Rattus norvegicus: one gene and its partners. The protein of the gene in region 2 purifies or fractionates together with the protein of the main gene of each other region. This does not show direct contact. Links are inferred from orthologs where the notes say so. Each region holds a gene or a part of one and is shown on either strand. Other genes may lie near its edges.

Region 1 (3,500 bases), on a different chromosome or scaffold from region 2:
AGACATGGTGCAGAGGGGCAGTCTCCCACAAGCACCCGAACCGGAGGAGTCTGTAGGAAGACACCCAGCATGCCCTCTACCTAGAAACCCACAGTTTCTATTTAAAAGCTAAACTTCCAAATGGACAGCTGCAACCAGGAAGCTACTGCCTTGTGTTGAATTCAGGCGAGGGAGCCAAGCACAGGGCACCACCGCCACTGACCTTCTATGTGGCAGATCTGGATGTTCTGTGTGTAAGGCAGGGTGGAGATGTAGATCTTGGCACCAGACGTCTGCTTCAGAAAACTCACGTACCGTCCCTGCTTGCCAATCAGTCGACCAACTAAATGCTTCCAGGGAAAGAGAGAGGTAAGGATGACAGGAAACCAACTCCTCGCTGCCCAAGGACCCAGGCTTAGTCAAGCTCACACCATTCGTTTCTGTCAGCATGTATTTTTCAGAACTGTTCTAAGCACTTATGCTCACTATGTACCTACGGATAGACAACTTTATCATCTTCCACATGAAGAGAAACAAGCTGGGACATGCTCTGGAACCCACACAAGCCCACACAGCTGCTAAGCAGCTGAAGGGGACAGCCTGGCCCAGGACTCAGCATCTCATTCTAACAGTATGTCCCAGACCAGGAATATTACAGTACCCCTCCTACACATGCATGCACTCTTAATAATCCACTGCTCTAAGGGCTGACTCTCATTCTGAACATCCCTGCCACTCCAAGTCCACCAGGGGCCACAGACAAAAGAGCTGGTTGGACAACGAAAGCATGAGAACACTCAAGACTCCCACCCCACCACTAAAGAAGAGCAAGTACATACAAGTGCCCAGTGCACCAGAACTCCAGGCAAACAGAAGACGCCAGACTTAAGCATAGTGTAAGGCAAGCCCTGCAACAATTCCTAATGACCCCAGCCCTGGAGGGTGGCAAGGGACATGGTCCCTACTCACCCAGAGCCTGCCTCACTATGCCCTCTGTGACCACCGAGGGCAGGATTGATAACAAGGTCACTAGGGAAAGAAACTACCACGGGAGCCAGCAGCCCGGGGTCAGCCTAGGAGTCTTGACCCAAAGTTCAGACTCAGCTTGGAGCCAAGTGCCCTGGGGATTAAGCAGTCTGCCAATTACTTTTGAACCCCAGTGACAAACACTAGTAAGCGGTTAAGTTCTAACAGCAAGGGGCTAGAAACTACTTAGGCGCTGGGGACTGGTGAAGCACCTCGCATTCCTACGATGAACAATGCAGTTAAAACAATGTTTTTAAAGACTAGCACAGGAAAATTAAGTTGCTAAAAATTTAGAAGTATTAGTTAAGACACCACAATCTTGGCTTGTTTAACAATCACAGGGTGTGAGGTGAGAGGGAACACAGCCGCTCGGGGTTGGCCTGCCTGCCTGCCTTTGCTTCTGCCTCAGGCTTTCTGTACTCTACAGCAGCTGACACTCTGCCCAGTTATCGAGTCCACCTCACAGTGCAGAGCAGGGAGACTCTGGCGTTCACTCCTCTGACTGACATTTGCTAGTATACAGAGAAGACCTAAGCCCCAGCCCACACAGAGGAGCCTGGGGGACCCAGCAAAACAGGGGAGGGAGGAAAGACAGTCTGCAGCTTCCCAGCCTGGTCATCTAATGTAATTTGCTGACATCCTTTAACCCTGGCATTGAAAAATTTTGAGCTCCCACAGAATCCAGCCTAAAGGAAAGTCACTGCCCTTACCTTTGGCACCTCGATCTCCCAGATGATGAGGTCAACCTTCTTAGGGTTGGAGCCTGCCTGGACAGTCTGGGGGCTATCAGGTTTCGTAAGCCCACAACAGCTATCCACTGAATCCATACTGTTCCCGTCAGAACCTGCAGGGGAGGAACGACATATATACACACACAGACACCAGCTCACAGTAACTATCACAGCTTCCCAAATTTATAATACTGGGAGGCCCTGCACACAGACACCCCTCTGCAAGCTTGGCAGATACCACAGACTAAAAGGCTCAGGAAACCCAATGAAAGGAGGCTTAGGGTACCCATGCACCTAATTTTAGCCTGTCACTGAACAGTCCTGCCTGCTTCTTTGGCAGCCGTGCCTCGCCACAGCTGCTGGGCAGACACACACGTGGTAAGCTAGGAAGAGGCACTCTCTATACCCAGGGAGGGGCTTATACAGGGTATATCGGGGAGGGGAGCCAACAAGATGACTCACAGATCTGCAGTTCCAGGAGCAGGCCTTGACCTTCCTGTCACGATCACCTCGATCCCTTTCCAAATGTCCCAGGCCCTCAGACCAAGGATCTCTAGTCTCCAAGGCCCAGGCTTGGGGGGAGGGGGTGTTCTGGGGTACTTGGGCAATCACAGTAGGAAAGCCTTCTGAGGGTCCCATTCTCAGGACAAAGCCAGGTGGGCCTCCTCCCTTCCCCTCTGGAACTGGCTCTGAATATGGGGTGGCCCAAACAGCCCAAACAGTGAGAGAAACCAAACACCAAACCAAGAGAACAGTGGAGAATGTGACTCTGGAACCAACACAGGCCATTCCACTCTTCCCCAGGACCATTGCAAAGAAGGAAGAAGAAGAAGAGAGAAGAAAAAGGAAGAGGGGAGGGGGAGGGGACAAGAACAAGAGGAGGAGGAGGGGGGAGGAGGAGGAAGAGGAGGAGAGGAAGAAGAGGAAGGGGAGGAGGAGGAGGAAGAGGTAGAGGAAGAGGAAGAGGGGGAGGAGGAGGAGGAAGAGGGGACCAAATAAGCACCAAGGACCATTCAGCGCAAGTTAGGAGATCCGGTCCTGACTGAAATACCAAACTCAATGGCCTGAAATAAATCACTCCTGTAAGCAACTAATTAGGCTATTTTCCACCTGGTTTCTCCCAACTCAGGACATAATTCTTTTCCAAGCAATCCACATCTGGATATAAAAGACTATGGTACTCTCTGTTCCCAGTCAAGGAAGAGACCTCCAAAGCGATCTCCCTTTGAGGGACCTCCCTCAACACTAGGTTTACGGCAGAGAACCCCACCCAAGAAACCCCACCTTGGGCAGCCATCTTGAGGTAGAATGAGCTGGTGAAGGTTTTACTACCACAAAGCCCCTAACCTCTGTCCAAGAGAAGTAGACTAGCCAATATGTGCATGCCAGTGGCTCCCAAGAGTGACTCAGAACCATACCAAGCCTTTAGCAGGCTGCATTCATTGACTTTCCAGCTCCCTCATCCCGTCCCCCCGTACCAGCTCCCTTAACTTCAACCTCAAGGGAAGCACATACAGCGGTGCTAAAGCCAACCTGAAAACACCAGTGCTGCTTGCACCCACTGAGAGCTCAGCAGTTACAACTCCCTGGCTATGACTGATGGGCTACCCTGCCTTCCCATCCACTGATTATGGTCTCTTCTCTAAAGCTATGCTCATAAGCCTCAGGCATCTGCACAGCTACCACAATCCATCCAGAGCTGCCACAGGCTGAGGGCTCATTTATTACAATGGGCATCAGACTCCTTTATTCTTAAAATGTTTT
Region 2 (3,500 bases):
ACTTCACGGTTCTTACTGTCTGAGATAAGTCCCGCTAGTGTTTGGCGTACGTTCCGTAGATGCCTTTCCGTACACACTCCATCACTGATTTTAACTTTGTTTGTTTAGGTCCATTTTCCCTGTCCTTGTCCCTAGTGTAGCTGATGGCCTTCTGCACAGGTGTGGAACAGAGGAGCACATGCTGTTATCAGTGGACAGGCGGGGGAGGGGGATGGGGGGCAACATGATTGTGTTGCACAGGGCTCTTCTCTGAAGCACGGCTGCACTGTAATTAGATGCTACCCGGGTCACAGTGTCTCTGATTTCCATGTGGATTTGTGTATCTCCAACAGAGGAACATTTGATATTTATGTAAAATGTGATGGCGTTGGAAGATGCGTTGGTAACTATGACAATCGTGGGAGTTTTGGAGAACTGGCCTTAATGTACAATACACCCAGAGCAGCTACAATCACTGCTACCTCTCCTGGTGCTCTGTGGGGTTTGGTGAGTAAAATATTTGCTTGACCCAAATGATATTAGTTTTGAAAATATCATGACAGTAGATATTTTCAACTACTGTTGAAAGATAGCATCGATACTGTATTTTAATTTTAATTGGTAGTTTTATTTGTGATCACGAGTCATTGGCACTTGTTAAGCCTCTGCTACTTGCCACACCATTAGTCTATGCTGAACCAAAGATTTATGTCCTGTCTCTCCCCAAGTCAGGAGCTTGAATATACTGGCCCTTGGGAATGACATCCGATCCTAATTGCCTCTCTCTTATCCATGCTTAAAATCCACAAGCCACAGCAGCTTGGAGAGATGGCTCAGTCAGTAAGGTGCCTGCTGGACGCCAATGAGGGTCTGCGTTTGGATCCCCAGAACCAGTGTAAAAAGTTGAGCACAGTGGCCCGTGCCCGTAACTGCAGTATCGATGGGGGAAGCAGGTGCAGACACACACAGATCCCAAAGCTCATGGGCTAACCAGTCTGGCCAAGTCAGTGAACTTTATTTTCAGTAAGAGACTTTGTCTCAGAAGTGGAGAGCAACCCAGGAGGGAGAGACATCTGACATCAGTGTCTGGCTCCTATAAGTATATTTCATATGTGCATTTGTGCATGAGCCTCCGATCACATGCATGTACATACCTTCAACCAACAAGCATGAATACTGTAACACACACACACACACACACACACACACACACACACAGCCTTTTTCTTAACTAGATCTCTGAGGTAAGTCCTATAGTCTGTAAGTCAGTGGTTTTCAGACTGAAAGTCACAACTGGGAACTTGTTAGGAACATCCCAGGCCCCCAGGACTCTGGAAAGGGGGTTCAGCAGTCCTATACTGGCAGACACCTTTCATGTGGTCCTGATGTGTGCTGCGCTTTGAAAAGGCATGGGAAAACAGCAAGCAGCACAAACAACAGCAGCAGAACAGTTCTCTCGGTGGTCTCTCTGCTCATGGGCAATCTGAGTAAAACACCCATTCTTTTCATCTCGGATACTGGAAAATAAATCTTGCCTCAATTGTACACAAAGCTAACCAGTCTCTTTGGGTGGGACGTGGGTGTAGGATGGACTGAGCAGTCCTAATCCGGAAACTCAAAGCTTGAAATGCTTTTTGAGTGCCAACATGATTCCACAACTGTAAAACTCTATACCTCACTTAATATTACAGGCCAGTCAACTGCAGGAGGCATTACGCTCCTGAACTTTACCTTTAGCCAGGTATATGAGATATATATGAACCTCAAACATGCTTCCATGCTACCGTGTTAGGATTCTTCAGAATCTGGGCAGTCGGGAGTGGGGGAGGCATGGGGGAGGCGTGGGGGAGACTGGATGGTGGAGTGTTGGGGGCGGGGGATGGTCTCTAAAGTCTGAAACACTTCTGGTCTCAAGTATTTCAGACAAGAGATTCTCAGTCTGTCTCTATAAATAAATGTCTTAACGGTAGAAATTCTGTTAAGTGTTGGTTCACAGACACATTTGGCTGAGGAGCTAGAGAAGCTGTGTGGACTCTTCCACAAGGTAACAGTGCAGGGCTTAAGTACTAACAACTGACGATGGCTTTAAGGTGGGGCTCCGTCTCTGGTAAGCTTGGGAACCCACTCACCACCCCGCAGACTCCACATCTGTGATCTAAGGTGAGCCTGGACTTGCTTGGAATCAGCTCCCAGGAGGTGTCCGAACTGCCTGGTGTCACACTTCACCCCAGGCCACACAGAGGATTGTTTGGGACACAAAACGTCTCGTGTTCTTGACATGCAGGTGTTAGGGTTCTCCTCAGCTCTTTGTACAAGAGGTTGTAACTGTCCCGTTTCAGAGGGTTACTGTGTTACAGAATGTATGTACACAGCATTCATCTCAGCCTTGGACTCATAAAACATCTCACTGGAAAGAAAAAAACAGGATACTTAAATTTTCTTTTTATTGGAGCCACGCAGTCATTGTATACCTATTAAATAAGTCAGTTATAGGATAAAAAAAAATGGAGAGTCTTTCATGTAGAAAGAAACACATCGCCTAGGATGTTAAGGATGACTTAAAACCAACAGAGGACAGCTGCAGCAGAGCAGACCTCTGTGTGCAGGGAGGACTCACAGTGTGTGGGGGGGCTCGTGGGGGTTAACTTGTGTCCACCGTGACCTGCCTATTACAGAAAGTGTAACCTAAGATGTGGTAGTCCCACTGGAGTTGCCAGTCAGAGTCATGGTGCCAGACGGGAACAAGGTATCCTCAAGCATCCTTGATCCAGGATACATTTTCAGATCCACCCCCCTTCGCCCCCAGTCCCCAAGCATGGAACTTTCAACCCTGATGCTAATGGTAACCAAGGTACAAAGGGCTTGGAGTTTTTGTCTGCATAATTCTTAAGCTCCTAAGAAAAATTCCAGAGATTCTTTTGGTGCTGTATACATGTTAGTGACATTTATAAACAGTTTCTGGTGCATGCAAACATGCAATATTTTTAAAATTATAATGTGAACATGTGTTTTCATTATATTAGAAACTAGCTTTTTAAGAGCAATTCGCATAGCCAGTCCCTTCTAGGGGAAGTCGAGGCAGAGCAGAAATGTGAGGGTCCACAGCCTGCAGCCCAGTGGTTGTAAGTGCTGTTGTAAAGAGAAGCAGTTGGCAGAGAAGAGTCCTCATCCTAGAGCCTCACTCCGGAAATAGCATCCTGCAGCTCTTAGCCCTAGAGATTAGCTGGAGACATGGCCACTACAGTGATGCAGAAAGGCCATTGTAACTGGGAAGAAAGTGTTTGAAATTGGGCTTCCTGAATTTGTTGGGTCAGGGTGGGTTGTGATATGGTGGACCATTTCATCCTGAGATACACAGTTCATGATTTACTTCTAAGTGACTGAACTATTTCACGAATTCTCTGTTTTAACAACAACAACAACAACAATGACAACGGTCTATCTTTAAAATGTCCCTGCTTCCCAAATCTGACTGTATATGACAGTCACACAGGATACTTTTAGATGTATTTCACTAGACA
Region 3 (3,498 bases), on a different chromosome or scaffold from region 2:
GGTGGACCCTCAGCTCAGGGTCATTCTTCAGTGGCTCATTGCCTCGGAGGCGGAAGTTAGAGAACTTTATTTTCAGGACTCTGCAAAGAAGGAGTTTGTCTTAGTAAGTACCTCCCTTCTAGAGTGGTTGTGAGGAAACAATGCCATGTAATAATCCTAACTCCTTTGTCGGTTTAGCAAAATGCTTGTTGACTGCAGAATATTAATATGTAGGAGTCTTACAGTCGGGTTCTGGTTTGACACTTGGGTAGGTAACTCACCGTGGGCAGATGAGTTAGTTTCCTTAGTTGCATGTGGGATTAGAGGCACATAGAATTTACTGTACAGGTTTGTGAGGATTAATTACAATACTGTAAAGAGCAAGGACTTGGTCTAACATCCTAACCCTAGAAGTTAGATGTCAGTAATAAGCAGCTAATGAATTCTTGAGGAAAGATCTAGCTATTCTATTTCTCTGATTCATAATTGTACCTAATTAATTAGGTCTTTCTCATCTTTATGTAAATAGAAGGCTTGTGTAATGAAAAACCAATACGAGATTAGATACTTTTGTTTAGATATACCAAGCATGCTGTTAGTAGGGATTTTCAGGTTTTAGTTTTAAGAGTGTTCTTCCTCAGTTTTCCATATAAAAAATTATAACCTTGCTGTAGTACAAAACAGTCCAGTGACTAAACAATATAGATTAATCAAAAAAAGGACAGGAAAGGATAACCCAAGGTACTCTTATTTTCTGGTTCAAAACTTAAAACACTATTGTTGGAAGATGTCAGTGAAGGATGTGACTGCTCCGACACGGAGTTTATTAGCTTGAGACTTCTGTTTGTAGGAGAGAAAATAGTCTGGGAAGAAATACTCAAGAAATGAAATATCAAGTGGAAGTGTGGCTTAAGATAAACCATGGCTACATGGGGCTGACAGGTGGTTAGAGGAGGAGGCCTTGTCGTCATGTAACCTCGCCCAGGGATCTTTGCCTGATTGAGTCAAGTACAATGCTCAGTTGTGGATGGCAAGGTCTTATTATGTTAACATTGGCTCATCTGAAGTGACTCTCAGAGACTATCTAGCTAGGACTCCACAAGGCTATTGGGGATGTATGAAACAGTCAAGACAAGTACAGCTTATGTTTGATAGTAGTAAGAATAATAGAAATACTTTGTCTTTCTGGATCATATATTAAAATTCAACATTTTCATGATTAAATAGAATAAACAGTATTACCATGAGGATAAACAGAAGATGACATACAATTGTATGTCAAAAAAGATATAAACATTTTAGGTAACAAAAGAGAAAGACATTGTCAACAAAGGGAGAAGACAGTTCACATATGAGAAGAAATGTTTATAATTTTGTATTCTTCATACAAAGAATGCCAATGGACGTTAGTGTTATTATTGCCTATCTTTGGAAAATAAAACATGAAGGGGTATTCAGCTTTACTAGCCGTTAGGAAAATGCAAATCAAAATCACTACATTGCAGTAGGGTGACTGTCCAGGTGGTAACAGCAAGCGTGGGAGGACATGGTACCCTGAATTCTTCTTACAGTTCTCAGTGAGAATCTAAAATGGTGAAGCTGTGGTGGAAAAACACCTAACAGTTCCCCAGAATGCCAAGTACAACATTAGCATGTTACCCAGCATTTCACTGCTTGTGTGCACTCGAGGAACACAAAAGCATGTGTGTACACAAAAACCACCTCAGAAATGTCTGTGGCAGCATTACTTATAGTAGGTAAGTAACATTTGTAACATTTGTTAGGCTTGTGGTATAGGTCTATAATTTCCAGTACACCAGAAGCAAAGGCAGGAGGATTACTGTATGTTGAGGTCACCCTGATCTAAATTAAGCAAGTTCTGGTCATAGTAAGACCCTGTCTTGAACAGTGAGCAGTCTCCCATCTGTCTTATCAGCTAATGAATGGAGAAGGAGCTTTGTTGGTTAGTAGAAAGTAGTAAGGCACTGAGTCTTGCTTTACTTCAAGATAACTATGCTAAGCCAAACACACACACAAGAGTTCACAGTTCCATTTCTATGACATACCTCTAAGTAGGCACAGCTATGAGACCCCAAGTAGATGAGCGCTTTACAAGGTGCTATAGAGGATGGAGAGGGGCTTCTGATACAGACGGCTTTTCTCCTGGTATGAGGAGAGAGCATCCAGTATTGACTGTGTGGACTTGTCTTCAGTTCAGTGATGTACTAAAACCCATGGACTGTGAATTGTATCTCAAAACTGTTTAAAGAAAAGCACATTTCCAGTAAAATAGTTTTTCAGAATTTATTTTACAGGCCTTTTAAAACTTAAGAATTCTTACATAGTTGAATAAACAGGAAAGTAAGGTCAGGTTCTGTTTTGCAGTGGTAGAGTTTGCCTAATCCCTGTTCATTCTTTTGCTTGCTTCTTTGTTCAGACATCACATTTCTTAACTTAGAAAGCCATGCTTCTGTTGAGGCTGAAGTGTTTTCCAGAATATAAACCATACTATATGCTTGGAAAGAAAATCTCCATCCTTTTATTAACCTTGACATTGTTGTTATTATTTTATGTTCCTAATTGAGGTTGTGGCAGATGTATTTAGTTAGGTGAAGAATTTTCCTGTACACAGTTACTCTGCATTCCCATGCAGACTGTCCACTGCCAAGGCTTGCGTTCTGTTTCCGGCAATCCTGAAGTGTCATTCTGTGGAGACTTGTTTCAATTTGGGCAAAGGGCTGGTGGTTGGGAGGAGATGGCATAACTGGAAAAGAAAATTTCATGGTAAACTGCAGGATTCCCAGTTTTGTCTGAAGATAAAAATAAAAACTTTGTTGCCTCAGATTGTTTTTTGTTAATGTATATTAATGTTTCTGTTAATCCTTCTTTCTTAGCTTTCAAAGCAGTTACAGGAGAGAGGATGGAAAGTGGGCGATGTCCTGCAGGCTGTGCTGAAATACTACGAAGTGGTGGCCAAAGCCTCAAGCGAGGACACGTGCACGTCGCTGTTTGATTGGCTTTTAGAAAATGCCTAGCACACCGCAGGGCAGTGTACTTTAGTGCTTGTTTTAGGAAGTAAAAAAGTTGATGATTTACATGTAGGATAAAATTCAAATACAGAATATTAACATTTTAATTGAATTGAGAGGAAAGTAAGCTTTTTAAGTGCTTTCTGTCATTACACTGTATATAGTTCATACTTTTGTAATCTTTGTCAAGATATTCTCTTTACTTATTCTTCTGTATATGTGTATGTGTTATGACCTGGAGATAATATTCTGTGAAGGACGATCTATCCTCACCCGAGGCTGGGGCATTCATTGTCTGACAGCATTTGTTTGGATTCACATAGTGCTGCTGCTGCTGCTGCTGCTGCTGCTGCTGCTGCTGCTGCTGCTGCTGCTGCTGCTGCTGCAAACAGGGCTGAGGCGGCTGGCCTGGCCCACGTGATCACTTGGTTCCTTTGAAAACAAGTGGTGTCTAATGATAAGTCATCTGACATGAAGAAAGAAAACTGAG
Region 4 (3,500 bases), on a different chromosome or scaffold from region 2:
AATTAAGAAAAATCTCAAAAGAATAATCATTTTCAGACAGGCGATGGTGGCTCACACCTTTAATCCCAGCACTTAAGAGGCAAAAGCAGGCAGATCTCCAAGTTTGAGGCCAGTCTAATCAACAGAGCGTGTTCCAGGACAGCCAGGGATACACAGAGAAAGCTTGCCTCAAAAAACAAACCAACCAACAAAAATATTCATTTCTAAAAAGTGAATTTGAATCCCACTTCTGTCTTTTACGTATTTAGTATCTGACCATAAATCAGTCTCCCCTACTTTGACAACCCCTTTGTAAAATGGGGCCAATATAAAGTACCTCAGAGTTGCAGCCAGGACCAATGAGGGCTTATGAATCCTGTGTCTATGATATTGTCAGCTCTATTTCACCACACAATAGAGCAACCCTCTCATCTACAATACAGCAGAAACAAGCCAATTACCAGGCAGAACCTACCAAAACGTGTATGAAACAACTTGTGTGTGCATGTAAAAGCCTCACAGAAAACACCCTTGGGCCATCAAGCCCCACAATATGGCATCCCTTTGCCTCTGACATTACTCAAACAGTTCTCAAGAAACACCTCTCTCCCAAGCCTGGCTACATGGTGGGAGCTGACATGACCTTTTAGAAAGGGATAATGAGTTGGTGTCTTCACTTACGTTTTCAAAGTCCTTCATGTTCCGGGCTCTGGTGGGAGAGACCTTTTCTTCTGACATGATTGGGAGCACTATAGAAAGATTAAACACACAAAGGAAATCATCAAACAAGCAGGCTGTATGGCATTCCTGCTGGGGCTGAGAGCCCAGAAGAGAGTCAGAGTAGCCTTGTGGGCAACTTCCTGCTTGCTGGTCTTTACTGATGTGAGTTCAAAGAATGCTCCAAGTTAAATTATTCTCAATATTGACAAAGTATTTACATTGGCTCTGATGTAACCACATATGTCAAGGGATAAACCCAAAACTTACATGGGACATGTGACAAAGCATGTCATTCCTCCTCACACGTCAGTAACTGAGGCAGCCTGACTGACTTGACAGCAGAGTTAGCAAACGCTTTCATAAAACACCAATGACTATTCCAGGCTTTGTAGGCCACACGCACAGCCGAAAATCCGTCATGTCTCTACAACATCTACTGCCACACGAGGACAACAGCCTCATAAAGTGAATCATAAACACAGAGCCTATGTTCCAAGAAAAGTTTGTTCTTACAAAAGCAGGCAATGGTGGGAAACTCCAACCCTGCTGACCACAGGCCTTGCTGGGACCCAGTCTCTGCAGAGCTTCTTTAATTCATTAAACATTTACCACACACCTGCCCTGCCCTGCACTGAGCACCAGTCTGCACTTTGGGAAACAATAGTGAAGGGGACAGTGCACCTGCACCAGCTTCCCAGGCAAGTGGGCAAAGCAGAAGAAAACAAATGTCATGATGCTGGTTAGTGTGTATCAAGTGACTGAACATTCACTCTCTGACAAAGCTGCACTGAGAAGCTGCTTCCTGCCAAGACTTTCTGGGTCTACCTACACCAAGAAACAAATAGATCTATTCTAGAGGAAGGAAAGAAACAAAACAACTGGGTGATCATGTGCTAGGCTAAAAGGTGATTTGGGATGGAGAAAAGTAAAGCAGGAGGGCTGGTCTTGCAGGCTCGGCTAACTGATGCACTGCTGTTTGGAGGACTGAAAGCAATGTGAACAGATTAAGGCTCCCTCTGGCTGCCTTTCTGAGAACAGACACTGAGGAGTTCAGGAGAGGAACAATGGGAACAGCTGCAATGACACTGGGATAACCCAGGCCAAAACCAGGCCCTGGTCTTTGGCCGGGATGGGAAGAGTACAGATGGGTGAGAACATGTTTGCTTCTGTATACTTGCATAGATGTTGTCAAGGTTTGTATATGCTCAGTCGAGGGAATGGCACTATTAGAATGTGTGGCCCTGTTGGAGTAGGTGTGTCATAGGCGTGGGCTAAGACCCTCACTCTAGCTGCCTGGAAGTCAGCCTTCAGATGAAGATGCAGAACTCTCAGCTCCTCCTGTACCATGCCTGCCTGGATGCTGCCATGATGATACTGGACTGAACCTCTGAACCTGTAAGCCAGCCCCAATTAAATGTTGTCCTTTATAAGACTTTCCTTAGTCATGGTCTCTGTTCACAGCAGTAAAACCCTAAGACAGGGGCTAAAAGGAATAAGAAAAGTGAATATATATAATGCTCAGAGGAGAGAGGATGAAGTAACCAGGGAGAGGCAAAGAAGGTGGTGTGCTTTGAGCTGAGTTCTCAACTCAGCAGGCAGCTGCAGGCAGAAGAGAAGGCCCCAGGCACAGGCCAACTGGGAGCAGAGAGAGTGTGCAGAGCCCTGTACGTCTGGCTGAGGAGCACAGAGGTTTTCTGTCCTCAGTCGGTGCTCAGTCACCTGTGTCAGGGACTTTCATCCCGTCCTTCCCCTACCTCAGTTCAGTGCCAAGTCTCGGCTCCAGTGACCAGTCTCTTGGGAAATGCTCACCTGACTCCCTTACTCTCCCATTCCTCTCACAGCACCTAACTCTTCTCTGTTCTAACCTGCATCAATGGATTTATCAGAGAAACTTCTCGTCTGTCTGTTCTCCGTCTGAAGGCACTGGCATTCCATGTTGAATCCCAATGCTTAACCAGAGTCTGGCAAGAAGTGCAAGTACAACGTGTGCTGAATTAAGGGTAGGCCTCAGAACTTTCTATTCACTGGACACTTTGTTTCAAGGAAAACTTACCAGGTCCCAGAGGAAAACCTGGGGATGGCCTATTAAGTAATAGTGTTTCCTAGAAATAAACCTTCTCATTCTGTCTGTCTTCCAAAGCTTCTGTTTGTTTGTATCTCATAATTTTAGAGAAGAGAAAAAAAGCACAAGTGAAAGTATCTCAAAGATAATTCAACAAGGCAAACTATCAGCACTCCCCACTTACTTCGGATAGCATGTACTTCTTTCAGAATGAAAATGATGAAGAATGCAAAACCCAGAGTGCAATCTCCCACACTCCAGTTTAAACATGAAGAAGGTTGAGAGCCAATTAAGACACAACGTGTACAAGATGCTGAGTGCCCACTGGGTGTCAGGCCAGGTAGGCCCTAGGCCCCAGGACAATATACTGTGTCAGGTCACAGATGCTCATGGTCTCAGCCTGCTCCCCTTTACTTCTGGGCATGTACACTTACCTCCATTTCCCAAGCCAGTAGTGTCACTGATGACATCCAGATCACTTGGTAGAACAGGGTGAAGGCCACTAGGAAAGAACACAGTGGGATGAAAGTTGAACTAGCACTTGAACAAAAGGGCCCTGTAGGGCAGTCTGAACCTCATGGAACAGTATTGGGCTGTGGCTAAGAAGGACTAAGGCACTGAGCTGCCCAGGAGACAGGAAGAGTTGAAATTAGGCTTTGGAGCTCTAGCTTTAGAACTGCCTTCCAGCTCTCACAGCTGAGAGACATTCATGGGGGACAGTCATTTCGCTGTTCACTCT

What was found. The genes of interacting proteins can lie anywhere in the genome.
Region 1: the proteins of Prkar2b (region 2) and Akap1 purify together in Homo sapiens (affinity purification with mass spectrometry; 3 studies listed by BioGRID and IntAct, counting the BioPlex papers as one, with this or other methods). This does not show direct contact. The link is inferred for Rattus norvegicus from reciprocal best matches to the Homo sapiens genes PRKAR2B and AKAP1.
Region 3: the proteins of Prkar2b (region 2) and Akap11 purify together in Homo sapiens (affinity purification with mass spectrometry; 3 studies listed by BioGRID and IntAct, counting the BioPlex papers as one, with this or other methods). This does not show direct contact. The link is inferred for Rattus norvegicus from reciprocal best matches to the Homo sapiens genes PRKAR2B and AKAP11.
Region 4: the proteins of Prkar2b (region 2) and Cdk5rap2 purify together in Homo sapiens (affinity purification with mass spectrometry; 3 studies listed by BioGRID and IntAct, counting the BioPlex papers as one, with this or other methods). This does not show direct contact. The link is inferred for Rattus norvegicus from reciprocal best matches to the Homo sapiens genes PRKAR2B and CDK5RAP2.

What each region holds. Positions count from the first base shown.
Region 1 is NC_086028.1:74,127,367-74,130,866, forward strand, and holds part of Akap1 (A-kinase anchor protein 1, mitochondrial), read right to left. Parts: intron 1,850-3,500; coding exon 1,716-1,849; intron 330-1,715; coding exon 203-329; intron 1-202.
Region 2 is NC_086024.1:54,301,412-54,304,911, reverse strand, and holds part of Prkar2b (cAMP-dependent protein kinase type II-beta regulatory subunit), read left to right. Parts: intron 1-332; coding exon 333-486; intron 487-3,500. UniProt on the Homo sapiens protein: Regulatory subunit of the cAMP-dependent protein kinases involved in cAMP signaling in cells. Type II regulatory chains mediate membrane association by binding to anchoring proteins, including the MAP2 kinase.
Region 3 is NC_086033.1:60,323,838-60,327,335, reverse strand, and holds part of Akap11 (A-kinase anchor protein 11), read left to right. Parts: coding exon 1-103; intron 104-2,873; coding exon 2,874-3,014; 3' UTR 3,015-3,498. UniProt on the Homo sapiens protein: Binds to type II regulatory subunits of protein kinase A and anchors/targets them.
Region 4 is NC_086023.1:88,965,898-88,969,397, forward strand, and holds part of Cdk5rap2 (CDK5 regulatory subunit-associated protein 2), read right to left. Parts: intron 3,264-3,500; coding exon 3,196-3,263; intron 729-3,195; coding exon 661-728; intron 1-660. UniProt on the Homo sapiens protein: Potential regulator of CDK5 activity via its interaction with CDK5R1. Negative regulator of centriole disengagement (licensing) which maintains centriole engagement and cohesion. Involved in regulation of mitotic spindle orientation.